Linked DNA regions of Oryctolagus cuniculus. The protein of the gene in region 1 binds, or shares a complex with, the protein of each later gene. Links are inferred from orthologs where the notes say so. Each region holds a gene or a part of one and is shown in the gene's direction. Other genes may lie near its edges.

Region 1 (4,256 bases):
GCATACGCAGCACCTTTTGAACCTAAAGTTCATGGAAAGTGCGTTTAGGGAGAAATTCAGTGTGGATTTCAAAATGTTTTGCAGCAAAATACATTCGTCTTTTGGTTCGGTGTTTGCATGAGCCTTTCGAAGCGCCCTCGTGAAGGGCCGCTTGTGAGGAGGCCGTGGCCTTGTGCTGCGCCCACTGGAGCCCTGGGCTTCGCGCGCTCCCCGGGGCTGACCCCGCAGCAGGCGTTGGCGCGGACGCAGCATCGTGTGGTAGACGCGGCTCCGGCTTGTAGACACTTTTTAAAGAGCGTAATCCACACTAAGCTGTCAGTGATTTCACTTAGAAGTAAGAGTGGGGCAGGCATGGTGGTCAGCAGGTGAAGCCGCCCCGTGTTGGAGCCCTGCCTCTGTTCCCGTCCAGCTTCCTGCAGCTGGCTCCTGCCGCCTTGTGGGAGACCCCAGCGGGAGTCCTGGCACCTGACCTTGGCCCCGCCCTGGCTGCTGCAGGCATTTGGGGCGTGAACCAGCAGAATACATTGTCTTGTCTTTCTCGTGTAGAAATAGAACTGCCCTTGTGGTCTTTGTGTGAGAGAATACACCTGTTCCCTTTTGTGACAACTTTTTATCAGAAAGATTCTCAATAAAGCTGACATTTAGAAAAAGTTAGAAAGAAGACCAAGAAACTGCCATATTGGCAGAATGCTATATAGATGGCGATTAAACCAATGAGTGAACAAACACCTGAGGCTTTACATTTCCTACTAGTGACATGGTGTGGGGTAGTAGCTTTATTATTGAAATAGCCTTGGGATTTTAAGTGAAAACAAACCAAAAAGTCAATTTTAAAGGAGTATCGGGAAGAGACCATTTTTGAGCTCTTACTATGTGCCAAGCATTGGGTTAAGTGCTTACTCTATATTCTTATTAAAAAAAAAAAAAAAAAAAAAAGATTTGAAAAGCAGAGTTACAGGGGAGAGAGGGAGAGAGGAAGGGGGAGGAAGGGGGAGGAGGAGGAGGGGAGAGAGAGAGGTCCTTCATCTGCTGGTTCATCCCCAATTGGTCACAACGGCCAGAGCTGAGCTGGACTGGAGCCAGGAGCCAGGAGCGTCTTCTGGGTCTCCCCCACGGGCGCAGGGGCCCAGGCACTTGAGCCGTCTGCGCTGCCTTCCCAGGCGCGTTACAGGAGGCCTTGATGAACTGACACGCTTAAGGAGTGGTCGGCCACTCGCAGGAGCCGGGCCTTGTTTGAGTTCTGAGATGAACGCCTTAAATAGTTGATGGGACAGGAGCCCAGTGCTGCAGGAGGACCCAGTGCTGTGACGGCCGAGAGCGCCACGCTCTGACGTGCGCTTGATCACGTTAAGGATCGCAGTAGAGCGGCAGGGCTTGAGCCAGTGCCTGTGTGGGATGCCCGCCACCACGCGGCCCCTCTGTATTCTTATTTAATCCTTTGTCAACCCTTTGAGAGGTGAGTCCTGGGGTTGTTCCTGTTCACAGGTGAGAGAGCCAGGAGCGGTTGTCCCGTGGTCCTAGCTGACACGTGGCAGAGCTCTGTGGTGCAGACATACACATTCGGGAACTTAGGACCCTGTGTGCTCGTCAGAGTGACTCAGTTTACAGGCTCAGTGGGAGCCCAGTAGAAGGACCGGTCCAGCGCCCCCCCCCAGCACAGCTGGGTCTGCTCCACCCAGGCCCTCCTGCCTCCACTGCCGCACTGTTGGGAAGCCCATCACAAACACCAAAGTACTTTTTCTGATCCAACTGTGATACATCTGATCAGATCTTAAAAAGTAGTCATTCCTGAGTATTATCAAACACACAGTCAGTGCTGGGGGCGGGGGGGTGTCTCACAGCCGTCACGTGATCACCTCAGAATTCAAATAAGGCCTATCTGCTGTGAGTGGCTGACCGCTCCTTAAGTGTTATCGTAAAGGCCACCTCTTTTTTTTTTTTTTTTAATTTTTTAAAAATGTATTTGACAGAGTTAGACAGTGAGAGAGAGAGAGAAAAGTCTTCCTTCTGTTGGTTCACCCCCAAATGGACGCTACAGCCGGCACACTACGCTGATCCAAAGCCAGGAGCCAGGTGCTTCTCCTGGTCTCCCATGCGGACGCAGGGCCCAAGCACTTGGGCCATCCTCCACTGCCCTCCTGGGCCACAGCAGAGAGCTGGACCGGAAGAGGAGCAACTGGGACAGAATCCAGCACCCATATGGGATGCCGGCACCGCAGGCGGAGGATTAGCCAAGTGAGCCACGGCGCCAGCCCCTCTTTTTTTTTTTTTTTTTTTTTAAGATTGATTTATTTATTTGAAAGGCCGAGTTACAAAGAGGCAGAGGCAGAGAGACAGAGATAAGGCCCCCTCTTAATCTCTTCTTTACCCTATGATTTGCTCGTTGAGTTACCTAGGTCAGGTGTCCTGGTGGGTTCTCCATAACCTGGGTCTTGCCGACTACGGTCACGTGATGGCATTTGGCCTGCTTCTCTGTCCCTGGGCTGCCTGCGCTTTGATGTAGATCGAGACTGCTGGCTCTCACTGGGCGGAGGTTTGGTGATAGAGATTCGATCGGAGTCAGGTTCTGCTGTTTGCGAACAGGTGACATTTCTCAGCTCTCGCACAGTGCACAGGCTCAGTGTGAATCTGGTGCATGGGTGGCGTCAGGGATTGAGTCTGTCTCAGCCGTGTGTCCAGGGTCCTCCCCACCTGCCTTTCTGTGCTTGGAGCATGCTCAGAAAACGGGCAGTGTCCTTCCTGTCAGGGGCGGGGAAGGCCTGCTCCCGTCCACCGTGTCCCCATGCGCGGTCTCCAGACACAGTGCAGACTTCATTCCGTTGTAAATTAAGGAGTTTTCTACATTGTTCTGAGTTTCCCTCTAAGCTGCCTGGGAGATGTTCCAGAGTTGACACTGCGTTTGCAGCTTAGCTTCAGGACAACTTCCTCATTTTTCTCCCCTTCCAGCTACTGTAAACATGTGACAACCTACGAAGAATCTAATTTTTCTCTGAGTTACCAGTTTGTATTAAATCTCTTCTCCTTCCTGCTGAGAATAAAGGCCTCCTTACTCCATGAAGAAGTGAGCTTAATTGAAAAGAAACTTTTTAAAAGAAAATACATGAGTTCAAACGAGTCTTCAAGATCCAGAAGAGTGAGAAGACGTTGAAAACAATTGAAGAGACTTGGAAAGATATTTCAGTGGTGCTAAGCGGTGTCAGATTGTAATGCCACTTTGCAGAGGATTGTGGGAAGTGTATTTTATCACATGTGTGCACACACACACATACATACATAGGTATCAAATGTGTTCATAAAGTTGTTTGCTGTGGGGGCTGGTGTTGGGGTGCAGGGGGTTAAGCCAGCAGTGTGACACCAGCGTCCCACTTGGGAGTGCCCATTCACGCCTGGCTGCTCCACTCTGATGTGTCTCCCTGCTAGTGCACCTGTGAAGACAAAGGACGGTGGCCCAAGTATTGGGGCCCCGCCACCCATAGGAGAGACCTGGATGGAGGTCCAGGCCCCTGGCTTCAGCCTGACTACCGGGACCGTTTGGAGCGCGCACCGGAGGGCGGGCGAGATCTCTCCATGTGCCCTCCTTCTGCCTTTCACATAATAAATCTTTTCTAACAATGGATGCTATACGATATGACGTGTAAACTTTTTTTTAATTAATATGAATGTTTTTGAGAAAATTAAAGCGATATATTTATATATAAATGGTATCTAGAAATTTGTGTTTGTTGTAGTTAAAATTAAATTTGCTTTTTTGAACTAGACTGCTTCCTTACTCTTTATACCCCAAACGAATCCCGGGGGGATCAGCAGTCTAAACAGTACTCTTCCGTATGTGCACGTAGGAGAGCGTTAGAACAAAACCAGCGTGACTGTTTCAGAGACCGTGGTGTGGGGAAGGACTCTCAGCACGCCTCAGACCAGACGCCAAGAGGAAAAGACTGACCCAGGACAGCGGGTTCCAAAGTAGGGAAACTGCTTGCAGCATACGGAGGACAAAGGGCGGATTTCTTCGGTGTGTCGATAGTTCTTGCAAAGCAGTAGAGAAAAGACCGAGCAGGGAAAACAGAAAGGCAGAGGCCAAGCCGAGAACCATGGTGGAATGATCCACTCCACTCATTCATGGAACAGCAATTGAAATGGATGCACTTCCCACCTAACCGCTTAGCGAAGATTGTGCAGGTTTACAATGACTGTTGAGAATATCAGAAAATCAGGCGTCTGTCAGAGCCCATTTATTCATCCCCGGGTACTGCCTGAGC
Region 2 (4,039 bases), on another chromosome or scaffold:
TGGCTCACTAAGCTAATCCTCTGCCTTGCGGCGTCAGCACACCGGGTTTTAGTCCCGGTCAGGTCGCTGGATTCTGTCCCGGTTGCCCCTCTTCCAGGCCAGCTCTCTGCTGTGGCCAGGGAGTGCAGTGGAGGATGGCCCAAGTGCTTGGGCCCTGCACCCCATGGGAGACCAGGAGAAGTACCTGGCTCCTGCCATCAGATCAGCGTGGTGCACTGGCCACAACGCGCTGGCTGCGGCGGCCATTGGAGGGTGAACCAACAGCAAAAGGAAGACCTTTCTCTCTGTCTCTCTCTCACTGTCCACTCTGCCTGTCAAAAAAAATAAAATAAAATAAATAAATAAAATGACATCCGATTTCATGGTTAAGTGATATTAGGGGCTTGTGATTTCCCCAGCATTTCCTAACTTTTTACTAGGGTTGTCTTTCCTTTATGGCAGGGAAAGACAGACAGGTGCCTCTCTCCCAAGTAAATTCACATCTGTCCTTTAGAAAAGAGATGGCTCCAGAGCTTGCACACGCAGGAGCCCCACAACAGCTACAACTGGATGGTGGTGGGAGGGCTAGAACCAGGAAACTCGTATAGAAACTGTTTCTTCAGGTCAAGTCTAAGCTACTGACGCGTGAAAATGGTGAGGTCTTCTAAAGATCCTTATTCTCATGTTTTATAAACAAGGAGCAACTCAATTAACCACCGACTGGATGACCACGACTGGAGGTGAGGGACCAAGTGGAAGACTGAAAGCCAAACTCGACCCAGGTCTTAGCAACCCCTGCCTACAGGCGTCCCCGGCCTAACGCCAGGTCCCTGTGGTGTCTGATGCCCTCCGAGGTCCTCGGCCCAGGGTCCCTGTGGTGTATGACCCCCTCCGAAGGCCTCGGCCCCCTCCCAGGCGTGCCCCTTCCGTCTTTCCCGTCCGGCCAGCGGAGCCCAGCGAGTCTCAGCACGCTTAGCTACACCCTCTGCTCCGCGAAAAAAGGGCCGCTGGGAACGGCGGGACCTGTACTTTTCTAATCCAACGAACTCTTGTTTTCTGGGGGCCCCCGTGAGTGGGAAGCCAGTGAGTCAGATGCGAGACAAGGAAGAGGAATACCCCACTACTGTGTCCAGGTGGGAAAAGGAGCCGGAGGCGCAGTGCCAGCGACTCGCCTTCCGGTCCACCACCACGAGACCAAACGGCAAGTGACGCAGCAAAACGCGCTCCCAGCCCGTCTGCCCGCCCTAAACCCCCCGCTGTGGCGCGCGAGGAATAGTGACGTCACAGCAAATTGTGCGCCCGGACGCGTCGGCGCTCTAGCCCTCGGCGCGCTCGCTGCCCCGCCGCTTGCGCACGGCCGGCGCTCTAGCCCGCGCTACCCGGCCCCTCTCGCCTGCCCTGGCGGGGTTCCGCGTCGCCGGCTGGTTGCTTGGTGGCCGAGGCCGGAGACGTACGTGGGAGGAGGGGTCGGGTTATCTGTGCCTAGGTGCTGGGGCAGACAAGGGAGGCCCCCTGCGTGGGGAGGGTGCGGCTCTCTGGTGTCCTAACGAACTGGTCGTTCCCTTTCCAGCATTCCGTCGCGTGTCCGTCATGGACGGCGCCAGCACCTGCCCCAGCTTTCAGTCGGACTTGGATTTCTGTCCGGATTGCGGCTCGGTCCTGCCCCTGCCCGGAGCTCAGGATACGGTCGTCTGTACTCGCTGTGGCTTCTCCATCCACGTGCGGGGTGAGGGGCGGGGGCCGGTGCGCGGTTTGGAGACCGGGGAGGGAGAGCCTTAGAGCGGGCGCCTGGACGTCTGGTCTGCGGAAGAACCCTGAGGGAGGCAGGCAGGCCTGGCGGGGGCGAGGCGGCCGTCCGCGCCCTCCGCTGGCCTCCACAGCCGCTTCTTGCTGCCCCGTGCAGACTTCGAAGGGAAGGTCGTGCAGACTTCCTTTGTGTTCCACAAGCTGGGGGCAGCCGTGCCTGCGTCGGCGGAGGAAGGGCCCGAGTTCCAGGGACCCGTGGTGAGTTACTGAGATGGAGGGCTGGCTGCAGAGAGGGGCGTGGAGAGGAAGCGGAGGGGCGAGTGCGGGGTCCGCAGAGTGTTGCACCGACTTCCAGGAAGGCGGAGAGCCTGGGAAGTGAGGGGCGCGCCCCCGCCTCCTAACGCACCCCTTCCCGGCCAGGTTGACAGGCGCTGCTCTCGCTGTGGCCACGAGGGAATGGCGTACCACACCCGGCAGATGCGCTCAGCCGACGAGGGGCAGACCGTCTTCTACACCTGCACCAGCTGCAAGTGGGTCTCCGCTCCCCTCCCTCTGTCTGCGCACTTGACATGTTCAGTGGCGTATTCTTGTACCACACACTTGCTTCCATGATTCCATCCCTAATAGGAAATACTTGTCTTTTGTATATCCAGTGAACTCAACCGTTTACTATTTTGTTTTTTCATTAAAAAACAAGAGAAGGCTGGAGTTGTTCACTGCAGCCAAGGTAGCTTGACCATGGTAAGAATTAGTCACACGGGATTTAAAGAACAGCAGCTTTCTGAATGGTTTGCAGAATTTAGTGTTCTGGTTCCACTAGAATATATCAGAGTGTTGTGGGCCGGCGCTGTGGCGGAGGAGCAGGTTAAGCTGCCGCCTGGGACACCAGCCTGGGTTCATGTCCTGACTGCTGAACTTCCAGTCCCGCTCCCAGCGAATGTGCCTGGGAAAGCAGTAGAAGATGGCCCAAGTTCTAGGGCCCCTGCACCGACGTGGGAGACCTGGAAGAAGCTCCTGACTCCCGGCTTCCTCCTGGTCCAGCCCCAGTATTGCTGCCATTTGGGGAGTGAACCAGTGGATGATCTCTCTGTCTCTCCCTCATTTCTTTTCCCCCCAAGGAAATCTTTTATTTGATAAGTACAAATTTCGTAAGTACAGCTGCAGGAATATAGTGATTCTTCCCACCATACCCACCCCACTCCCAGCCCACCTCCTCCCTCTCCCATTTCCAGTCCCCTGCTCTTGTATCTCCCTCTCTGTAAATCTGCCTTTCAATCAAATTTTTTTAAAAAAAAAATAAAGGATATATCAAAATGTAGCTCGCTTTTGTTTATCCTGTTTGGAATTTTATTGGACTTTCTGAAATGAGAATTGATGTATTTCTCATTAACTTTGAAAAATTACCAGCCATTATCTCATTTAATACTGTCTTTCTCCCATGTTTTTAATTCTCACATACTGGAGTTCTAATTGTTTATTATACTTTCTCCTCATCCTCCCATTTTCCTCACCCTGTCTAAAAATTTATTCAAAAGGCAGAGTTATAGAGAGGCAGAGCCAGAGAGAAGTCTTTCATCATTGGTTCACTCCCCAAATGGCTGCCACAGCCAGAGCTGGGCCAATCCGAAGCCAGGAGCCAGGAGCCTCTTCCTTGTCTCCCACGTAGGTGCAGGAGTCCAAGTACTTAGGCCTTCTACTGCTTTTTTTTTTCCCTTTGCCATAGCAGAAAGCTGGATCGGAAGTGGAGCAGCTGGGACTCGAAGCGGCGCCCATCTGGGATGCCGGCTCTGCAGGCAGCAGCTTTACTTGCTACTCCACAGTGGTGGTGGCCCATCAATCATTTTTTACTTCTCAGTTCCTTAATTGTATTTTAAATCTCTTTTTATTTTTTAAATGTGTATTAGATATATCAAACATGTTTACACCATAGTAGTAGGGGCTTCAGTTTTAACTTACCTGTCTGGATTTATCAGTGTGAAGATGGCCTTTCCTTTCTTGGAATTTACCAGTGGATTAAAAATATTTATGGTCATATATCTTTCCTATATGAGCAGTTTTTAATATTTATAAGGTCCAGTTAAACATTCTTTTTTTCTTTCATGGCTAGTGCCTTTTGTGTTCTAAGACATCTTTGCATACTTTGTCTTAATTCATCTGATTTATTTTTAATCCCAGCATTTTCAGTTGTTGGAGGATTTATTTAGGGGAGCCAGGTCTCCACAGTATCATAAATAAAAGGCCCTTTGAATGTTGGAATATTTCATCTTACATTGCTGGGAACTCCTCTGATCCAGTGTAACAAGTCTTTTTTTTC
Region 3 (4,203 bases), on another chromosome or scaffold:
AAACGAGAAGAGAGGAGGAGACGAACAGGCAAAGGGGGGCAGAGAGAAAGGGCCAAGGGCAAATTCCCTGGTGTGCTGGCCCACAGCCCAAGTCCTCGGCTCCTGACCGCACCAGAGCTGTGATGGGTGCGACCCAAGCCAGTCGCTCTCCAAATGGGAAGGGCGCCAGCAGTTCTGCTGCCCAAGGAATCAATAACAAGCATTCTTATGATTCACGTTCATCCTGCTTTATTCCGAAGCACTTTACCGAAAAGCCCCTTGACCCAGCCAAGAAGTTCAGGGCCAGGAGCCAAGACACCTGGACTCCAGACCTGCGTGTGGCAGATCTGGAACCTTCTTGGGGGTCTAGGTTTCTCCCATTGACCCTCGGATGCCTGGTGAGGCTGCTGTTGTCATTCCACAGATACGGAAACTAGGATCAGGTGGGGTTAAAACTTGCCCAAACACTCACACTATTAAAAAAAAAAGTTAGGACTTTTGATCCCAAAGCCTTTGTCAGAAATAGCAACTGGTTCCATGCCCCGATTTCGGTGCAGCCTGAGATGGCTTGATCCTGCATAAAATGTCCCCAGAGTGAATCAAAGGCAGATCAAGTGTGAGGGCCTGCAGGTGAACTGTGGAGGTCGGAGTGCTCTTTAACCAAAAAAATAAAAAAGAACCAACTACGGGATGCAAAGTCAAGTCCAAGGTCTTGCACAGGCCTTAAAGCTTCAACTTCATTCGCATGATGGTCAGTCTGCATCTTCCTCATGTCCTGCCCGCTAAAAACCCAGACACACCAGATCCCGGCGGCGCCCTCCTCCCGAGGCGAGAACCGTGGCAGGAGTCTTGGGAAAGGAATCTCATCTCTCCCAGGAGGCAGGAGGAATTACCGCGGCGGAGAGCCCGTGCGAGGAGGGAGGGAGGCTGCGCGCCAGCCAAGAGCCCACAGGGGCCCGGGGACGCAGCGGAACAAGACGCGGGCAGCGGCGGGGCCGGGGTGGGAGCCAGGCGTCATGGCGCTGTCCCGGACGAAGGGCCAAGCCGTGGGCCGGCCTGCCGCAAGCCAGCGCCCTCGGCTGTCCGCGGGCTCCCTGCGTCCTGCCCTGAGAACACTTCCCCGGAGCTAAGAAGGCAAAGTCGGACAACCCCGGCGCCGGCAGCGGAGGCCGAGGCCGGACGCTCTGCGCGGCCCGCGCGGCCCGGGTGCCGGGCGCCCCTCGCGGCTCCCCACCGCCGCCGGGGGGCAGCGCCCGCGGCCTGCTTTCCCCGGGCTGGTCGAGCCTTTTTGACAAGCTGATTGCGTGGCGGGGATTGGCTGGTCCGGGCGTGACGCCGGTAACAACAAAGGTGGAGTTGGAAGAAATTAGATTAAGGGAGAGGAGGAAAAAAAAAATTAAAGGGGGAGCTGGCAGGGGACAGGCGGCGGCGAGCGAGGGGGAGATGCGCGCGGCGCGGCCTCCGGTACCGACTGGGCCCCCGGAAGCCTCTCCGCGTAAGCCCGCCGGGACCTGGCTCTCGCTTCCCACCCCGGCCCACTTCCGAAGCCGGGTAGGAGAGACGGCTGCTGCTGCTTTGGAAACCTCCCAGCTCCCACCCTGCCACCCCTCACGACGACCCGAGGGGAGAACTTTTTGCTCGGACTCCACGTATCCTCAGCCCGGCGAAGGTGGGGGGGCGCTGGGAAGGAGGCTCGCTCCAAACCCGGGACGGCCCCGCGGGGCTCGGAGGTCGGGCGAGGAGCGCTGCCGCTCCGGTCTTCCGAGATGGCTCATCTAAGAGCTTCTTTCTGTCTTTTCTTTCTTTTTTTTTTTTTATAACACCCCCCCCCCTTTACTTCCCCCTCGCTTTGGCTTCAGGGTTGCAAAAGCAAAGAGCAATAAAAAAAAAAAAAAAAAAAGGAAAGAAAAAAGAAAAAGAAAAACCGCGCACACACTCAGACACACGCCAGTGGCGACAGGGGAGAGTTGGAAAGGCGCAGGAGAGAAGCAGGAGGCGGGCGGCGGCGGGGCCGGAGCCTTGGGAGCGGGGAGCGGGCAGGTTCCCTCGCAAAACCCCCTCCGCCCCACGGCGCCTCGCCGGCCCCGGCAGGGGAGCGAGGAGCCGGGCGAGCAGATGGAGGAGTGGAGCTCGCTCTAGGCAGCGGGCTTGGCCGGAGAATGGAGGAGCCGCCAAGCGACCGGCTGATTGGAAGAGAAACGCAGAGCGATGGAGGCGGGGGTAGGAGGACGATTTCTCTGCGGGGACTGGCGGCGGCGTACACGCCCGGGTCGGGCGCTGCAGAGCTTGGCTGGCTTTCAACCCGCGCTCGCCGGCTCCAGCCCCGCGCGCCCCCACCCCCGGCCCTCCCGGCGGCTCCGCAGGTGAGTGCGAGCTGGGGGCAAAAAGACCCAAAGTCTCCGCACTCCCGCCCTGCAAAAAAAAAAAAAAAAAAAAAAGAGGAAAAAAATTTTTTTCCTTTTTTTCCCCCCAATTTTCGCGCAGCCCCGAGAGCGGTGGGAGGGAAGGGGTGAGGCTGAGCCACCCGGAGGAGGCGGAGGGGCCAGGCGAGGCCGCGGTGGCCCGGGAGGCGGCGGCGCCGAGGCGGCTCTGACGGGCGAGCGCTCGGAGCGGCGCTGCGCTGCGCCGAGGCGGGCGGGCGGAGCGGGGCGGGCGGAGCGCGGCGCGTGGGGCTCGCCATTAGCCGTCGCTCCGCTTCGCCATCTCGGGCTTTGTCTGGCGACTCGCTGCCCCGGAGTCGGCTGCGGCGGAGCTGCGGCTCGGCTCTCCGGCCCGCCGCGCCCCCAGGTGTCCCCGGCCCGCGCTCCCATCCACACGCTCGGTAAGTGAGCCCCGGCGCCACGGATTTCGGGGGAGAGGGGTTGCTCCGAGCGGCCGCGCCGCCGATCTCCATGCGCCCAGGCAGGCCTGGGGAGCCATGCCGGGCTGGATTGAACCGGCTCCCACCGTGGCTCCTCGCCGCTTCCTGGGTGTAAGGAGCGAAGGGAATTTCTTTTTCCCCCTTGGCAAGGATATTTTGCTTTTCGAGTTTCGCGTGTGCCGTTCGGCGGCGAAGTAGGCGCCGAAGCTTGGCACCGCGATCGGCACCCCGAGCGAGTAGCCACGCTCTGGGGAAGGTGGGCGCGAACCGCCCGCGCCGGGAGGCGGGAGAGGGCCGGCTTGGAAGGCCGGATCTGGGCTGGGAGGCCGTGGAGGAGAGGTCCGGGGCTGCACTGCGGGCACCCCCGAGCCTCTTCGGCCGCCGGGGGGCCCTCCGGGCACCCTCTCCGCGGCCGCGCCTCGGCCCTCCCTCCCGCGCCGGCCGAGCCTGCTAGTTCCCCCGCGGGTCTGGCGAGGTCGCTCTCGGCGCCCGCCCGCCCGCCCGCCTCGGCTCCGAGCCCCGCCGCCATCCGGGCGGCTGCGTGTCTCCCTGCCCCGGCCCCCCCCCCTCCCCGGCGGCAGCAGCAGCAGCAGCCGCCGCCGCCGCCACCGCCACCACCACCACCACTACCACCACCCCCCTCCCCTCCTTCCTTCCCTCCGCCTCGGCCGCCCGGGTCCCCCCAGCTCCCGCCCCTCCTCCCAGCTGCCCCCCGCGGAGCCCGCCCGGGCAGGCTGTGGGAGGGAGCGGAGCCGGCGAGGCGGGCGGGCTGGCGCTCGCTCCCCGGGGGTCGGTGTGCGCTCTACGGGGAAGGACGCGCTCGCTGCCCCGCTTCTCCCGCCCCCCCTCCCGCTCCTCCTCCTCCCTTCTCCCTCCTCCTCCCCGCTCCGGCGGCGGAGGCTGCGGCGGCGGCGGGGGGTGTGCGAGCTGAGGCCGGGGCCGGCGGGCGGGCGGCGGGCGGGCTGCCTGCAGGCGGAGGGCGCTGTGCTTTGTGCTTTTCGCCGCGAGGAGCAGCAGGCAGCAGCTACAGCCGCCGCCGCCACAGCAGCAGCAGCAGCCGCCGCCCCAGCGCCGCCACCGCGCCCGGAGGAGGAGCCGCTGCCGCCGCGGGAGGGAGCTGCGGCTGTGCCCGGCCGAGCGGGGGAGGGCGCCGCCGCTCAGAGCCGGGGAGGGAGCCGCCGGAGCGGGAAGCCCGGAGGTCGCGCTGCGCCGGGTAACCGAGGCGGCTGAGGGCGCGCGCTGGGGGTCGGGGCCGGGGCGGCCAGGGAGAGACCCGCGGGAGCGGCGGACACCCCGGCGCAGACCCGGGGCGGCCTCCGAGCAGGGTCTGGACGCGAGCAGACCGGGGCACTGGGGAGGACGCC
Region 4 (4,182 bases), on another chromosome or scaffold:
GCGTCAGGAAGGACAGCAGAGCCCAGGGCTGGGTGAGGGACCGGGGCTCAGGAGGTGAGCCTCACCTGCTGCGCACCTGGGCAGGCTCCACATCGAAGTAGGGTCTCAGGATGTCGATGTTGGCATACAAACTGAAGGCTCTGGAAGCTTGTCTCTTCCCGGCCTGCCACATCTGAGCGGAGATGCGGGGATGGCCCGTGAGGCTCCTGGCCCTGGGGTCCTGCTCCCTAGCTTCTGTCGGGGTTCTACTGGGCTCCAACTGGGGCAGCCTGAGGTCAAGGTCACCCACACGACTCCAGATCGCGCAGGTATCCTGCACTTGCCAAGGATTCAGCCCCGCTTACCTGGTCAGCCACCTGCCGGCTCAGCTGCCCCTTAAAGCCCTTCATGCCCAGGAACTCCCCATCCTCCTCTTCCGCAGCGGCCGCGTCGGCGTCCACTTCTTCCTCGCGCAGGCGCTGGTGCAGCTCACCCATGTCCTCGAAGCTGGAGCCCGAGGTGTCATCCATGTTCTCCATGTCAATCACGGCAGAGCCCCCACCCTGTGAAGGCAATGCCTCCTACAGTGCAGGCCTTTCTGGTCCCTGCCCCGCTGCTGGCGCCGCGCCTCCGAATCCCCGCACATCAGGCCACTGTCACCCCTCACTTTCTCTCAGAACCCCCTGGCTGCTGGTTCCGGCGCTCTCCTCTAGCCCGAGAAGCCACCTACTTGTCTTCCGCTCATGCCTTTTCCCCACCTTCCCCATCAAAGGCCCCGAGGGTTTGCAAGGCGCAAGCAAGACCATGCACACAAGATGTTTCTGGCGAGTGCCAGCGAATCCCGCCCACTGCCCCGCTTGACCCCGATTGACCTCCTCTTCTGTCTCTCTTCCTAACGCCTCAGGCGCGTCCAGAGACCCGAGGCCCTCCGGCCGGCACTAGCTTCACTGACTTTCCCGTGCACGAAGACCCAAAGGGGAGAGGAGTGTTGCAAATGGAGGAAGCTTTCGGGCCCCGAGGGAGGCTTCCCCAGACACGTCGGGGTGGCCGGCAGCCGAAGCGCTGGGGCCATTACCTGGATGTTTTCTTCGAACCCGCCCCATTCCGGGCCGGCCCCGTTTCGAGCGCCGCCGGCCGGCGCCGCGGTGGCTGCCATGTCCCTGGAGGGCTCCCGTCCCCGAAGCCAGCGCTAGCCCCGCGCGCGGAGGAAGAGGGGGCAGACGTGGGCCTGAGGCACGGAGACGTCCAGGGCCGAGGACAGGCGCCACCAGCCGGAACGCAAAAAAGAGAAACCCGGATGTTTGGCCCAGACAGACTTCCGGAAGTTGGGGACGTGGACGGAGGCGGGGCAAAGTCTCGCGATACGTCGGGCTCCGGGAGGCGGTGCGTTGCCACGGCGACGGAGGAAAGCCGCTAGAACGCACGCGCAGGCGTGAGGCCTTAGTCTCGTGGGGGAAGTCGAAGATGGCGGCGGCTCAGGCCGTTGAAGAAATGCGGAGCCGCGTGGTTTTAGGGGAGTTCGGAGTTCGGAATGTAAGCCTTGTGGCCTTGAGTTCAGAAGGAAGTATGAGAGGGACGGGTCGGGATCAAAGTGAGGGCGGGCTTGGCTTCGCTGCCTCTTCACGGACGGACCCGTATCTCTAGGTTCATACCACCGACTTCCCCGGGAACTATTCCGGTTATGATGATGCCTGGGATCAGGACCGCTTCGAGAAGGTGCGTGGGGCCGGAGTGTGATCGGAGCAGCCCGGGCTTCCGAGCTGCTCCCAGGGGTCACTCACGTGGCAAAACCAAGTTTGCTCAGCATCCGACCGTGTCCTGGGCGCTCCTTGCACACCGGGCTTCTGCCTTGTTCTGCGATCGAGCTGTTCAGGCCTGTACAGGTCATTCTAGTTGGATGCGGTGACGGCGGCTGAGAGTGGGGGTGGGGCACCCCTCAGAGACGGTCTAGACTGGGGCAGAATCATAGGATTCCCTGAAGGAAGTGACATCTGAGTTTGAGCCCTGAACGGTGAGTGAAGGTCGAGGAGGGAGGAGTAAGCGAGCTAACTTGTAAAGACGGGGTGGGCGTGTCCCTAGAATGTCCGAACCGCGCATTATTGATAGAATGTTACACTGGCCTGACGGCGGGCACTGGGGGTTCTTGAGCAGGCGTGACCAGGTGATCCGGTTTGCAGCTTTGGTGGTTGAGAAGGAGGAGAAGGGGCGGGCAGATCGCTAGGCAGTGCTGGGGGAAGGAGCCCAGGAGTGCTTTGGTGAGAGCGGTCAGGACTTTCTGGCTGTGGGAACTCATCTGACGGCTGGCGGTGCCTGGGCAGTGGGAACGATGACCCATTCGGTTCCCCGCGGTGTGGAGGAGCTAGCAGCCCAGGAGAGCGTTCGACAGAATGTGGGGAGTTGTCCATAGTAGTTGCTAAAACCGTGAGTGTGGTTGATGTCACTTTGGAGAGAGACAAGAAGCTGGGGACCGGTAACACCTAGGTGGTGGGTGGAAGGAGACGCAACTCCTCAGATGGAGGACTGGTGCCCAGACACGGAGGAGATGGGGTTTGAGAAAGGAGTTTTTTTTTTTTTTTTTTTTTTTTTTTTTAATTCAATGCCAAATGTAACATTAGTAAGAAAAGAACTGAGTCCTGTCAGCTGGACTAAACTGTATAGAAGTTTCTGCTCTTCATAGAATAGCTTCTGGCTCAAGCCATATTGCATAGGATTTTCAACTAGTGGCATACAAAACTGGGGGCATTGTTCAAGAAACTAAAAGAACAGAGGAAGAAAACATCAAATGAGGCTTTGCTGGGCAGAGGAAGGCTTCTGGGGGAGCGGGGATGTTCCGTGTCAAGGGGGAGCTGTAGCCAGGTCACACCAAGAGCAGGCTCCATCCACTTGTTTTTCCTTTGCCTCTAGAACTTCCGCGTGGATGTGGTACACATGGATGAAAACTCGCTGGAGTTTGACATGGTGGGAATTGATGCGGCCATTGCCAATGCTTTCCGGCGAATTCTGCTGGCGGAGGTATCAGCGGGGCCGGTGACGGCTGGAGCGTGGGGAAGTGTGCCATCACCTCATCTGTCAGTGTCTCAAGTTGCCCCCCCCCCCCCCCCCCGATTTTGTGGAGTGTTTTGCTTTAAGTTTTTATGAGGCATTCTTCTAGGAGTTGTCCATCTCAGGAGGTGGGGAGTCTGCCGGGTTTTTATAGACGGGTAATCCTGGTCTCTGGGTAGGTGCCCACAATGGCTGTGGAGAAGGTACTGGTGTACAACAACACATCCATCGTGCAGGATGAGATCCTGGCTCACCGCCTGGGGCTCATTCCCATTCATGCTGATCCACGACTGTTTGAATATCGGAACCAAGGTGAGGGCCTGGGAGATGAAGCTGTTGGGGGAAGTGGAACCGCTTTCTTCCTTAGTAGATCCTGGGACCAGCTGCCTGGGTTCGAATCCTGGGTTGACTCTTGTGGCCCTGGGCAAGTGACTCATCATCTGTGGACGAGAGGAGCAGCACACGGGTAGCACTCGGCAGTGTCTACCCTGATGCTCACTGCTGCTGTAAGGGCCGCCTCTTCCCTTTGTGCAGGGGACGACGAGGGCACAGAGATAGACACTCTGCAGTTTCGGCTGCAGGTCAGGTGCACTCGGAACCCCCACGCTGCTAAAGATTCCTCTGACCCCAACGAGCTCTATGTGAATCACAAAGGTTAGTGGGCAAGGAGGGAGGCCTGGCTGCTGGCTGTGGGGGCGTCTCGGGGCTACAGCCCTCTGACTTGTCTTCCCTCCAGTGTACACCAGGCACATGACGTGGGTTCCCCTGGGGAACCAGGCTGACCTCTTCCCTGAGGGCACTATCCGGCCGGTGCACGATGATATCCTCATTGCCCAGCTGCGACCTGGCCAAGAGATTGACCTGCTCATGCACTGTGTCAAGGGCATCGGTGAGACCCGTGGGCCGCCTCAGGTGCAGGGCGTAGCTTAGTCGCCGCAGGAATCCAGGGATGCTCCTGACCGGCAGAAGGCGGTGGGCTTGGGCTTTCGCGCTCAGTGGCTCGGGAGAGGATTCCCCCAGGCTGATCTCTCCCTTCCCTGCAGGCAAGGACCACGCCAAGTTCTCACCAGTGGCGACAGCCAGTTACAGGCTCCTGCCAGACATTACCCTGCTTGCACCCATAGAAGGGGAAGCGGCTGAGGAGCTGAGCCAGTGCTTCTC
Region 5 (3,500 bases), on another chromosome or scaffold:
TCCTGCAGCACAAGGATGTGGGTTCGCTCCCCGCCGCAGAGCCGCCCCCGGCGCCGGAGTCGGGCCCGGAGGACGAGCTCAGTGAGCGCCTTGGGGAGGCCTGGGAAGGCCGAGGGGCCGCCTGGTGGGAGAGGCGGCAGGGCAGGACCTCGGGGCTCAGCAGGCAGCCCAGGCGGGCCAAGCGCCGCACCCAGCTCTCCAGCACCTTCTCGCTCAGCGGCCGCCTGGACCTCTCCGATGCCAACAGCCCCCCGCACAGCCCGGACAGGACGTGCCCTGAGGCCAGGCCTCGGGCCCCAGTGCCCTCAGCCTCCCAGGAGTCGACTCAGGAGGCCGGCGTTCAGGGCGTCCCCTCGGAGCGGCGGCAGAGCCTCCGGAGCTACGCCACCGAGCCGTCACTCCAGGAGGCCGCCACGCCCCCCTCCCGGGCCGCCCCCTCCCGGCAGCGCGCTCCTGCCCTCGCTGGCTCCCAGCCCCAGCGCAAGAGGCCTCGCATGGGCTTCTGAGGGCACGGCGAGGCTGGGGCCTCCAGAGCCCTGGTCCTCACGGCAGGGCCGGCGGGGCCTTCCACAGGAGGGCCCAGCGCGGCTTGGAGCGGGGAAATGGCGCCTTGGGTGTCCTCCCGTTAGCCTGCAGGTAACTGCAGAAGGCCAGTTGGGAGGACTCCCTCCAGGAGGTGGTTCGAGAAAGCGGGGCTCCCTGTCGTTGGGGGTGCATGGGCCAGCAGCGCCAGCCCCTCAGCGTGTTCAGGAGTGGGGAGACCCCTCAGCTGCACGTGCCTGGCAGCACCGCAGTGGCGGTGAGCGGCGCTGGGGGTGTGTCCCCAGCCCCCCAGGTGACCTGTCGCTTTGCTCGGGCGGTGCTGGCTGATGGTTCAGGGACCGATAAAATGAGGTACTTCTTCCTTAGACCGGGCTTCTGGCATCGGGTGTGTGAGGCCTCGCGTCCGAGCTGCTCCCGCTCTGTGCAGGACTCTGCTCTCCCACGGGCAGCCCTGCAGGCCGCAGGCCCTGTCGTAGGCTGGAACGCACAGGTTCAGAGGGCAGCTGACGAGACCAGTTGTGTGTAAGCGTTAGTAACAGACTGACTTGGGTGGATGTGAAGGTGTTTATGCGCAAGGAGGCACGGACAGGCACACAGCGCAGTGGGCGGACGGACGCTCTGAGCACACGCTGCACGACGCAGCCCCGCAGCCAGGGCTGAGGGGGCGAGCGGGGAACCCCAGAGATGCTCTGGGGAGGGAGAGCTGGGGGGAGGGCTTGACACGGAGCCGTTCAGTCCAAGCCGAATTCGATGTCCTCCTGGCCTGCCCCCACCCTCAACTTGGGCTCTGTTTCAGACCGTGGTTCCTTCTTTTCCATTGTGTCCCCTAAAGAGTTCAGAGAGAATGCCTGTGGGTGTTCTTGCCAGGCGGCCAGCCCCCAGCTGGTCCCGCGTGCAGGTCTGGAGTGCCAGGTGTCTCAGGAAAACACCCCTGTGTGAGGTCGACATTGCCACCGCAGCCTGCACGCCCATCCAGCAGCAGCTGACCAAGGCACAGCCCAGCCCGCTTGCTGCCACTCCCCACCAACTGTCCCCCAGCCCCAGAGTGAGGGTAGCAGTGTGTGCCACCCCTCAGGTCTCTGCACACTCCCTGTGTGGGACGTCAGACAGTGTCACGCCGTCCCAGGGGTCTGGAGAGCAGCCATGCCCCTGTGCCAGCTGCCACCCAAGGTGTGTCCCCCACTGCCAGCCACAGCATCTGGTCCCCTTGCTCCCTCAGAGCCAGGTCTGGGGGGGAGGGCGGGCAGAAAAGCTTCCCCAGCCCCGCGGAGCCCAGGACGGCTGAGTCCCTGTGACTGCAGGGGCTGCCCGCCCACCCTGGTGGCTGCTTGGCCCCAGGGGTGGCCTCAGACGCCTGGACTGGGGAAGGTGATCTGGAGTCTCAGGCCACTTGGTCACCGGTGACCCCCAGAACATGGATTCTGGGAGCAAAGGTCTAGAAGGCCATCCCTGCCTGCCTCCCAGGTGGGGCGGCATCACCTGAGGGAGAGGCCATGCAGGGGGTGCTGTCCCCGCCCTCCCTGCAGGGAGGGGGCGTGGCGTCTCCGCTGCTGGCGGGGGTTGGCCAGGGGCTGTTTGGCAGCTCTTCAATCAGCGGTCGCGCCGGCTTGGCGACTGCAGTTCGGACATCCGGGGACTTTGCTTGTATCCTGAGCGTGTCTGTGAATGGCGTCTCGGCCTTCTCGGAGATGGCCTTGGAGACCGCAAAGATGCTGGAGAGGGTGTCTGTGGGCGGGCGCTCCAGCTCCGGGTCACTGTCCTCGCTCAGGCTGGAGATGGCCTGGACCCTCGGGACGCACGTTCCCTGTCGGACAGGACGGCAGTGTTGGAACCTTTTCAGTACGGTGGCTCTAGGTGTGCTACTCCAGTTATGCTTTCCATTGTCACCTGCAAGGAAGGCCCAGGGGACCACAGGACTTGGCCCTTTGGGAGTCTGGCCTCAGCATGGCCAGGCCCAGCTGCATTTTCACAGAGCCCTGCGGCCAGGGTCTGTGCACCTCTCCACCCTTTCTGGGCCTCGGTGCCGCGCTCCCCCTGCCTACTCTTCTGCCTCCAGGGTCCCTGAGCCGGGCCTCTGCCGCCACACCTCTTAACCCAGCTTTGTTCAGCTCCGGGCCTGGGGGTGGGGAGCTGATACAAAGATGACCTCTTGCATGCCCTCTCCCTTGGGCAGGATGTGGCACCGTGGGCTCTGGGGGTGCCGTGGGGAGGAGCCCCCAGCTCCGTCTGCCTCTTCCCTCTACAGCTCTGTGCAGACACTGGTGAGATGCACGCAGACCCAGCATGTCGGGTAGCTGCATCCAGGGCCCAGTCCTGTAGCTCAGCCAGAACCCCCAAGTGGGAGAACGAGCAAGACAAGCCGCTGCGCTTCCCCCTGTCGGGAGCCCTGCTGTCCCACCAGGAGCAAGTTACTCCGAGGGCCGGGGTGCGCGAGAGGTCCTGACCAGTTCATGGGAAACGTGCTGTAGGAAAAAACTGCATTTCAACATGAGCGAACATCCCGGAATTCACTTCCCACGGATTGGCAGACCCCTCAGGCCTTGTAAATGACAAGAACGCAAGTGAGAGTCAGGGTGGAGGGGCCGGGTGCACGGATAACCTTACCTGGCCTTCCAGAGAGTCTCCTGGGTCGTCGGTGTCTTCCAAATCAGGGAGGTCCTGAAAGAGCCGATTGTCACGGAGAGCAGCGTGTCAGTGAGCCACAGTGCACACGGACACACAGCCCCATTGGGAGGAGCAGAAATACAAACATGATAACCAAGGGTTTTGTTAACAGAGCAAGGGGCCCTCTCCCCCACCCCGGCAGCAAGCACTGGCGGCAAGTGTGTGTCAGCATCGAACGACAGGGAGAATCTGCGAGGTATGCCATGGCCGAGGGAGTCCCATGTCCTCGTCACGGCCACTTCACCACGGGGCCACAGGGCACCCAAGCTGGAGGCACCTGGGCAAAGGTGACC
Region 6 (3,500 bases), on another chromosome or scaffold:
CAGATTATTTGGAAGCTTGGAAGTGAAATTCTGTTTTATCATCCCAAAAGCAATGTGGAGACTTTCAACACCTTTGCTGACCGGATGAAAAATATTGGCGTCTTGAATTATTTAAAGGTGAGGTTGTTGGTTTTGTGAATTTACGTTTTCAGTGTATCGGTAATAAGGAGATAATAATGCAGAGAGCATGGGACCAAAGGTGAGACATGTGGATAAAGAAGGGGAACTGGAAGAAACCATTGTGAGAACCATATGTCTTGGTTTCTGGTCCCTGTCTTGTTGTCTGACTGAAGATCCTTCTCTTTGTGCCTTTGGCTGCCAGACACCAGCCCTTCAGGGATTGCAGTTGTGCTTCATTGTGATGATGGGCCACATTCTCATGTTTGCAAGCATTTGTTTTTATTTTCCTTTTGGGAGGCAGAGAGAGAAAGAGGAAGACTGACTGACAGATCTTTCATTTGCATATCTTTATCTGCAAATGCCTGTAACAGCATAGGCTGGGTCAGGCTGAAGCCAAGAGCCTGGACCTCAATCCAGGTCTCCTTTGTGGATGGCTGGGACCCATGTGCTATAGCCATTCCCTGCTGCCTCCCAGAGTGCATATTGGCAGAAAGCTGGTGGGAAGCAGAGATGAGACGTGAACTCAGACACTGCAGTATGGGAAGTGGGCATCCCAAGCAGCTGCTTAACTGCCGTACCATATGCCTGCTCCCTAATAAAAGTCTTATCCAAAAGGAGACATTTCCAGAATATATATCTCTCTCCCTCTCTGTGGTATAGTTTTTGACTAAAAATTTTTTAATAAAGTTTTAAAAGATATGTAATTTTTAATTTTTTTTCTCAGTGACCATAGAGTTTCATTGGAATACAGTTACATTCATTAATTTCCAAATTGTCAGTAGCTACTTCTTTTTTTTTAAAGAAAGATTGATTTATTTATTTGAAAGGCAGAGTTACAGAGAGAAAGGGAGCAATGGAGAGAGATCTTCCATCCACTGGTTCATTCCCTAAATGGCTGCAACAGCCAGGCCTGGGCCAGGAGCCAGGAGCTTCATCTGGGTATCCCACATGAGTGCAGGGTCCCTAATACTTGGGCCATCTTCTGCTGCTTTTCCTAGGCACATTAGCAGAGAGCTCAGTCTGAAGTAGAGCAGCCAGGAATTGAACCAGCCATGCCACAGCCACAACACTGGCTCTACCAGTAACTACTCTTTCATGACAATGATGGAGTTGAATAATTGTGACAAAAACTAGTTAGCCTGCAAAGCCTAAAATATTTACTCTCTGGCTCTTTTTAAATTTTTTTTTTTTTTTACTTTTTTTATTTTCAAAAACTTTTATTGTCATAAAATATACATAACATAAATGATTTTTAACCATTATAAAAATATTTATTTACTTGAAAGGTGGAATTACAGGAAGGGAGATGGAGAGGCAGAGAAAGAGAGCCAAAGAGAAATCTTCCGTCCTCTAATTTGCTCCCCAAATGCCCGCAATGACTAGGGCCGGACCAGGCCGAAACCAGGAGCTTCTTCCTGGCACAGGGACCTGAGTACTTAGTCCATCTTTCGCTGCTTTCCCAGGCACATGAGCAGGGAGTGGGATCGGAAGTAGGGCAGCCAGGACTTGAACTAGTGCACATATGGGATTTTGCCCTGCAGGTAGTGGCTTAACTTTCCGTACCACAGCACCGGCCCCAATTTTAGCCATTTTTAAATGTACAATTCAGTGGCATTAGTTATATACACAGTTTTCTACCAAGATTACCGCTAGTCCCGAAACTTTCCATCACCCCAAACAGAAACTATGTACTCAGTAACAGCAACTCCCCATTCTCTTCTCCCCCAGCTCCTGGTAACCTCCAGCCTGTTTTTGGTCTCTGATTTTGCCTATTCTAGATATAAATGGAGTCATGTACCATTTGTCCTTTGGTGTCTGACTTATTTCACTTAGCATAATATTTTCAAGATTTATCTGTGTTGTGGCATGTATCAGAACTTTTGCTTTTTCTATGACTGGATAGTATTCAGTTTCCTATCACGTTGTGTTTCTCCATGTAACTGTTGTGTTGTTTTCAGATATGGCTGTTGTAAATCATACTTCAATGAACATTGGCTTGAAATTATCTGTTTCAGTCACCATTTTCAGTTCTTTTGGGTCCATCCCTATGTTTAATGTTTTTAAAGATTTATTTATTTACTTATTTATTTGAAAGTCAGAGTTACACAGAGAGAGGCAGAGAGAGAGAGAGAAAGAGAAAGAGAGGTCTTCCATCCAATGGTTCACTCCTCAATTGGCTGCAACGGCCAGAGCTGCGCTGATCTGAAGCCAGGAGCCAGGAGCTTCTTCCGGGTCTCCCACATGGGTACAGGGGCCCAAGTACTTGGGCTATCTTCTGCTTTCCCAGGCCATAGCAGAGAGCTGGATCTGAAGTGGAGCAGCCGGGTCTCGAACCGGCACCCATATGGGATGCTGGCACTTCAGGCCAGGGCATTAACCTGTGCCACAATGCTGGCCCCACATTTTTCAAGAATTGCTAAATGGTTGTCTACTGTGGCTGCACCTATTTATATAAATACTGCTTTCTAATTTTGAAAATGAATTTTCGCAGTTTAGGATTCTTTTTTAGATCTTAATTAATTTAGAAAAAAATTTCTGAGTATGAATAGTTTTGTGCCAGATGCTCTCTGACAAGTGGAAATTGAGTAGAGGCAGCTTATGGTTCCATGTAAGGAAGAGACTTCGAGCTGAACAAGTTGGGAAAGGAAAGGCCTGCCTTAATGGGCGCTCTCCTCTCTTTCCAGGAAGAAACTGGGTAGCTGTTTGATTGGAAAGGGAGCGTGGAGTTTTAACTAACCAATTGGCCAGGCTTCTTTTGGTGCATGGAATCTACTCAGTTCAAGTAAAGAAACTGGAAGGAAATCTCATTTCTTCCACACCCAAGAGTGATAATTAGAATAAGCAGAAAGCCACTGCAGTTTTTCAGGCAATGTGCTGTAGAAGGGACAGGCATTTAAATGGAAAAAAGTGTTATGGGTACCACGGTAGAGAATGCAGCATGCAGTAAAAAGGTGAAGGAGAAGTGGTTGTCTTTGGAATTGGAGAGGGCTGGGATTGATGAATAGGGGGACCAGGAAAAGGTAGGACGTGATGTGTGAGATGAGTTTGAAACAGCGAGTGGGGTTCAATAGGCAGACTAAGGAAAGGGTGCTCTGGCGTGGCAGGGGTGACAGAGATTCGATAGCCCCGTGTCCCATGCTCTAGTTACTCTGAAAATTACTTGAATGGAAGCCAGAGGAAGTAGGCTGGGCACTGTGTGCCATACTTAGGGAGCTTGGGGTTTATTCTGCAGACAGTGTGAACCGTTGGGGGCTTTTACAGAAACGAGTAACAAAATGGGATTTCTTTGGTAATTGCATGGATGATGGATTGTAGGGGGGCAAGAAGGGAGAGGTTAGTTGAGAAATAATTGCAGTAGTTTGAGATGGGGACCTTGAACT
Region 7 (4,050 bases), on another chromosome or scaffold:
TGGACTCGGCACTCCGCCCGCGCAGCCAGCGCCGGTCGGTCCCCGTCCGGTCCCCGCAGCCCGGGCGGCCGAGAGCAGAGTGCGGCGGGCCCCGGGCGGGCGCCGCTGGCACGGCCTCCCGCTCCCGTCCCCTCCTCGGCGGGCGGGCCGAGGGCGGTGCCCTCTGCGCTGCTCCGCCCGCCAGCCCATCCGGAGGGGCCGGCCTAGCCCGGCTAGGGTCTGCGACGGGGCCGCCTCCCAGGCTCCGGAGAGGCGGCAGGGGGCGCCTGGAACGCGCCTGCCGGCGGAGAAGGACTGAGAGGGGCGCCCGCGGCCGGGGCGGGGCAGGGCCACTGGCACGTGGAGCCGGTCCACAGCTCTCCGTGCAAGGCGGAGAGGGACCGGAGCCGCCGGGCGCTTAGGACTTCGGGCTCGGGGCTGCAGGGCTGCTAATTCGTGAGAGCAGCTGCCTTCTCTGCTGAGGACTGGAGGCCCAGGCGGGCCTGGAAAGGCCCCTCTGCGGGGGATTCGGAGGGCCATTCTGGGCTCCTGCCCTTGCTCGGGGCTAGCCTCAGGAGGTGCCCCTGCAATACCGGACCCGCCGGATTTTGCGGGCAAGGGGACTGGGAAAGAAAGGCCCGAGGGAAGGGAGTTCTAGTGCCTGGAAGGCAGGCGTCGGGGGTGGGGTGGGGTGGGCAGAGGTCGCTTCTCCTGGCAGGGCCCAAGGAAAACCCCAGGAGCTGCTGACGTCTCGCCGCCTTGGGGAAACGGCCTGCTGGGGTTTGGCTTTCTCTATCAGGGTCCGGGGAAGGAGAGAACAGAGGGTGGGGTGAGCACGGGGTGCACGGGCAGCGTTCGAGATAGCGAGCGCAGACGCGGCGTGCAGGAGGGCGGCAGGAGGCCAAGGAAGGGAGGTTGTGGGAGAAGGGGGCCAGCACCCGGGAGGAAGAGACAGGAAAGTGATCCAAGAGGAGGGCAGTGCTGGGGGAACACGCGGCACACGCTGAGGGGGCACTGCTAACGGGTAGGGCAGTGTGAGGGGATTTGTGGCAGGCGGAAGGAGCGAGCAGGGCCCAGGGGAAGAGGGCAGTGGTGGGGGGAGGGTGCAGCGCCAGAGGAGGGCAGTGCCAGCTTTCCTTTCCCCCGGAGTGATATCCTGGACGGCCCCGGCTCAGGTGACGTCCAGCAGGGCCGAGCCAGCCCCCGCCGACCTGGGGGCCCTCGGTGCCAGTTGAGGGACTAGGCATTACGTCCTGCTGGGCTAGCGCTCTGGGGGCGGAGTTTTGTTGCACCCGTCCCCGGCGCGGACTATGCCCTCGGGGGACACGAGGACCGGCAGGGTAGGGCTAGGGCCCGGCTTCTCTGGGGCAAAGATCAAGGTCTCGGCCTGGGTTAAGTCTCCAAGCATTCCAGGCTTCAGGGCCCGGACTCTGGAGAGGGCGAAGCGGAGCCCCAGCGGAGCGCGATAACCCGAGCCACCTCCGCCAGAGGTGGTGCTTGGGGCGTTCCCGCCCTGGGCGGAGTCACCTGGCTCGGAGACACGCCCTCAATGCGTGTTCCCTCGCCAGCAATCTATCGGGGCGGAAGTTGAGAATCCCCGAGGTGGAGGCGGCGGAAGTGGCTGCCGTACTGCAAGCTGGTGCGCATGCGCTTTCCTGCTGCTCTGCCGCCAGCGTTCAGGCGCCTTTTGCTCTAGTGTCTTCTTTTTCCACGCGAGAGTGGGCTAACTCGTAGTTGTGGTCTCGCTCCTCGCGTTTCCGCTGCTCTCGTGGCCCCCTCACGATGGCGGGCATCCTGTTTGAGGACATTTTCGATGTGAAAGACATTGACCCGGAAGGCAAGAAGTTTGACCGAGGTAGGTAAGGTGTGGGGTTTGGCCGAAGAAACTAACTTCCTCGGGACACACCCCTGGGCTCCGGCTCACGTGGCCTGCCCTTGCGGCAGGTCCTGATGTAGGGGCCTCTCCCAGGAGACCTTTTATGGATGAGAAAGCCGAGACGCCGAGCTCTCCCTGGCTGCACACACGCGGTGCCCAGTGCCATGGTGGTGGCAGGCTCCTGGACGTCTCTGCAGTCGCCTCTCACTTACACACATTTTGCCTTATTTAGTGCTCTCGAGAGTTCCCAGGAGGTAGGTGGTGCCTTCCTCTCCTCCTGGAGGGTAAGTTTGCCACCCAAGGCTGCACCGTGGTCAGTCTGACTTATGAGCCCGAATTCTTGTGTGGAGTCGAGTCTCCAGCTGATGTCAGACCCTCTGAGTTAACTGCGCGGTGCAGGCCAGGCGCCCGAGGTGTTTTTCAAGTCTCAGTTATTCAGTGAGATAATCCCCTTAGCATGGGAGAGGACACCTTTGGTTGAAGAAGTCCCTTGCCCAGACCCAGGTTCTAAATCACCCAGGTAGTGCCTAGAACTCTGTCTTTTGCTGCTAGAATATTTTGATTTGGGGGCAGGATTCCATTCATTTGCCATGCTTTTTTAAAAAATTATTATTATTTTTTAAAGATTAATTTTATTTATTTGAAAGAGAGAGAGGTAGAGACAGAGAAAGGTCTTCCATCCTTTGGTTCACTCCCCAGATGGCCACAACGGCTGGAGCTGTGCTGATCTGAAGCCAGGAGCCAGGAGCTTCTTCCAGGTCTCCCACACGGTGCAGGGGCCCAAGGACTTGGGCTATCCTCTACTGCTTTCCCAGGCCACAGCAGAGAGTTGGGTTGGAAGTGGAGCAGCCAGGATATGAACTGGCACCCATATGGGATGCCGGCGCCTTAGGTCAGGGCGTCAACCCACTGCGCCATAGTGCCAGCCCCAATTATTAATTTTTAAAGACTTATTTATTTATATGAAAGGCAGAATTACAGAGAGAGAGAGGGGTCTTTAATCCGTTGGTTCACTGCCCAGATGGCCACAATGGCCGGAGCTGCACTGATCTGAAGCCAGGCTCCTGGAGCTTCTTCCAGGTCTCCCACGTGGGTGCAGGGGCCCAAGGACCTGGGCCATCCTCTTCTGCTTTCCCGGGTGCATTAGCAGGGATTGGAAGTGGAGCAGCTGGGACTTGAACCGGCACCCATATGGGATGCCAGCACTGCAGGTGGGGCTTTGCCCACTAATCCACAATCGCTGGCCCCTGCCATGGTTTTTGTCCTCCATGCATATCTGGTTCTGAGCGAGCCTGCATTTCTCTCTCTCTCTCTCTCTTTTTTTTAAGGTTTGTTTTATTTATTTGAAAGACAGAGATAGGGAGAGACAGTGAAAGAGGTCTTCCATCCACTGCTTCACTCCCCAGGTGGCCTCAGTGCCTGGGGCTGGGTGAAGCCAAAGTGATCTGGGAGCTGGATCAGAAGCAAAGCAGCCTCTTCCAACTGGTGCTCTGATACAGAATGCCCACCTCGTACACAGCAGCTCTGCCCACTGCACTGCAGTGCCTGCACTTTTTTTTTTTTTTTTTTTTTTTTAAGATTTACTTACTTGTTTGAAAGGCAGAGTTACAGAGAGGCAGAGGCAGAGAGAAAGAGAGGTCTTCCATCTGCTGATTCATTCCCCCAAATGGTTGCAATGGCATGGGCTGGGCTGATCCGAAGCCAGGAGCTTCTTCCAGGTCTCCCACATGAGTGCAGGAGCCCAAGGACTTGGACCATCTTCTGCCTTCCCAGGCCATAGCAGAGAGCTGGATCAGAAGTAGAGCAGCAGGGACTCGAACCAGCACTCATTTGGGATGCCAGTGCTGCAGGTGGCGGCTTTACCCAATATGCCCTGTGCCTGCACTTCTGTGAGAGCACATAAGAGGCCAGTGGATGTAGATCAGGTTACATTAAATAGTCGATTGCCTGTAATTCCCAAACTGGGATCTGTCAGATCTGCCTTTGCCCTGGTAATTACATCGTCCGTCTCTCTGCTTCTCCCCAGTGTCTCGACTGCACTGTGAGAGCGAATCTTTCAAGATGGACCTCATCTTAGATGTAAACATTCAGATTTACCCTGTGGACCTGGGTAAGTATTGAACCCAGAGAATCAACAGAGGCTTCTTGCCGTCTCAGCTATTCTTTACGCCCAGATATTGCTGCTGTTTTCAGGT

What was found.
Region 2: TAF1B (region 1) and POLR1H share a complex: the UniProt entries of both Homo sapiens proteins name them as parts of the pol I pre-initiation complex. The link is inferred for Oryctolagus cuniculus from reciprocal best matches to the Homo sapiens genes TAF1B and POLR1H.
Region 3: TAF1B (region 1) and UBTF share a complex: the UniProt entries of both Homo sapiens proteins name them as parts of the pol I pre-initiation complex. The link is inferred for Oryctolagus cuniculus from reciprocal best matches to the Homo sapiens genes TAF1B and UBTF.
Region 4: TAF1B (region 1) and POLR1C share a complex: the UniProt entries of both Homo sapiens proteins name them as parts of the pol I pre-initiation complex. The link is inferred for Oryctolagus cuniculus from reciprocal best matches to the Homo sapiens genes TAF1B and POLR1C.
Region 5: TAF1B (region 1) and TAF1C share a complex: the UniProt entries of both Homo sapiens proteins name them as parts of the transcription factor SL1/TIF-IB complex. The link is inferred for Oryctolagus cuniculus from reciprocal best matches to the Homo sapiens genes TAF1B and TAF1C.
Region 6: TAF1B (region 1) and TAF1A share a complex: the UniProt entries of both Homo sapiens proteins name them as parts of the transcription factor SL1/TIF-IB complex. The link is inferred for Oryctolagus cuniculus from reciprocal best matches to the Homo sapiens genes TAF1B and TAF1A.
Region 7: TAF1B (region 1) and POLR2H share a complex: the UniProt entries of both Homo sapiens proteins name them as parts of the pol I pre-initiation complex. The link is inferred for Oryctolagus cuniculus from reciprocal best matches to the Homo sapiens genes TAF1B and POLR2H.

What each region holds. Positions count from the first base shown.
Region 1 is NC_091433.1:192,313,895-192,318,150, reverse strand, and holds the end of TAF1B (TATA box-binding protein-associated factor RNA polymerase I subunit B), read left to right. Parts: intron 1-2,946; coding exon 2,947-3,148; 3' UTR 3,149-3,756; downstream 3,757-4,256. UniProt on the Homo sapiens protein: Component of RNA polymerase I core factor complex that acts as a GTF2B/TFIIB-like factor and plays a key role in multiple steps during transcription initiation such as pre-initiation complex (PIC) assembly and postpolymerase recruitment events in polymerase I (Pol I) transcription.
Region 2 is NC_091436.1:140,424,720-140,428,758, reverse strand, and holds the start of POLR1H (DNA-directed RNA polymerase I subunit RPA12), read left to right. Parts: upstream 1-1,239; 5' UTR 1,240-1,429; exon of another isoform or gene 1,430-1,465; intron 1,466-1,549; 5' UTR 1,550-1,569; coding exon 1,570-1,705; intron 1,706-1,882; coding exon 1,883-1,983; intron 1,984-2,145; coding exon 2,146-2,255; intron 2,256-4,039. UniProt on the Homo sapiens protein: Core component of RNA polymerase I (Pol I), a DNA-dependent RNA polymerase which synthesizes ribosomal RNA precursors using the four ribonucleoside triphosphates as substrates. Can mediate Pol I proofreading of the nascent RNA transcript.
Region 3 is NC_091448.1:19,038,556-19,042,758, forward strand, and holds the start of UBTF (nucleolar transcription factor 1), read left to right. Parts: upstream 1-1,403; 5' UTR 1,404-1,648; intron 1,649-2,212; exon of another isoform or gene 2,213-2,342; intron 2,343-2,661; exon of another isoform or gene 2,662-2,800; intron 2,801-3,863; coding exon of another isoform or gene 3,864-4,203. Other genes in the region: basic salivary proline-rich protein 2-like, read right to left, coding at 3,864-4,203. UniProt on the Homo sapiens protein: Recognizes the ribosomal RNA gene promoter and activates transcription mediated by RNA polymerase I (Pol I) through cooperative interactions with the transcription factor SL1/TIF-IB complex.
Region 4 is NC_091436.1:126,548,517-126,552,698, reverse strand, and holds the start of POLR1C (DNA-directed RNA polymerases I and III subunit RPAC1), read left to right. Parts: upstream 1-1,382; 5' UTR 1,383-1,443; coding exon 1,444-1,512; exon of another isoform or gene 1,513-1,543; intron 1,544-1,623; coding exon 1,624-1,695; intron 1,696-1,992; exon of another isoform or gene 1,993-2,059; coding exon of another isoform or gene 2,060-2,140; intron 2,141-2,883; coding exon 2,884-2,991; intron 2,992-3,200; coding exon 3,201-3,333; intron 3,334-3,555; coding exon 3,556-3,675; intron 3,676-3,757; coding exon 3,758-3,910; intron 3,911-4,064; coding exon 4,065-4,182. Other genes in the region: protein YIPF3, read right to left, coding at 66-172, 345-542, 1,055-1,135. UniProt on the Homo sapiens protein: DNA-dependent RNA polymerase catalyzes the transcription of DNA into RNA using the four ribonucleoside triphosphates as substrates.
Region 5 is NC_091449.1:65,912,849-65,916,348, reverse strand, and holds part of TAF1C (TATA box-binding protein-associated factor RNA polymerase I subunit C), read left to right. Parts: coding exon 1-506; 3' UTR 507-1,274; coding exon of another isoform or gene 1,275-1,369; 3' UTR 1,370-2,022; coding exon of another isoform or gene 2,023-2,347; 3' UTR 2,348-3,147; coding exon of another isoform or gene 3,148-3,201; 3' UTR 3,202-3,500. Other genes in the region: DNAAF1 (dynein axonemal assembly factor 1), read right to left, coding at 1,275-1,369, 2,023-2,347, 3,148-3,201. UniProt on the Homo sapiens protein: Component of the transcription factor SL1/TIF-IB complex, which is involved in the assembly of the PIC (pre-initiation complex) during RNA polymerase I-dependent transcription.
Region 6 is NC_091444.1:36,957,311-36,960,810, reverse strand, and holds part of TAF1A (TATA box-binding protein-associated factor RNA polymerase I subunit A), read left to right. Parts: intron 1-3; coding exon 4-117; intron 118-3,500. UniProt on the Homo sapiens protein: Component of the transcription factor SL1/TIF-IB complex, which is involved in the assembly of the PIC (pre-initiation complex) during RNA polymerase I-dependent transcription.
Region 7 is NC_091435.1:93,931,982-93,936,031, forward strand, and holds the start of POLR2H (DNA-directed RNA polymerases I, II, and III subunit RPABC3), read left to right. Parts: upstream 1-1,250; 5' UTR 1,251-1,761; coding exon 1,762-1,834; intron 1,835-3,881; coding exon 3,882-3,965; intron 3,966-4,048; coding exon 4,049-4,050. UniProt on the Homo sapiens protein: DNA-dependent RNA polymerase catalyzes the transcription of DNA into RNA using the four ribonucleoside triphosphates as substrates.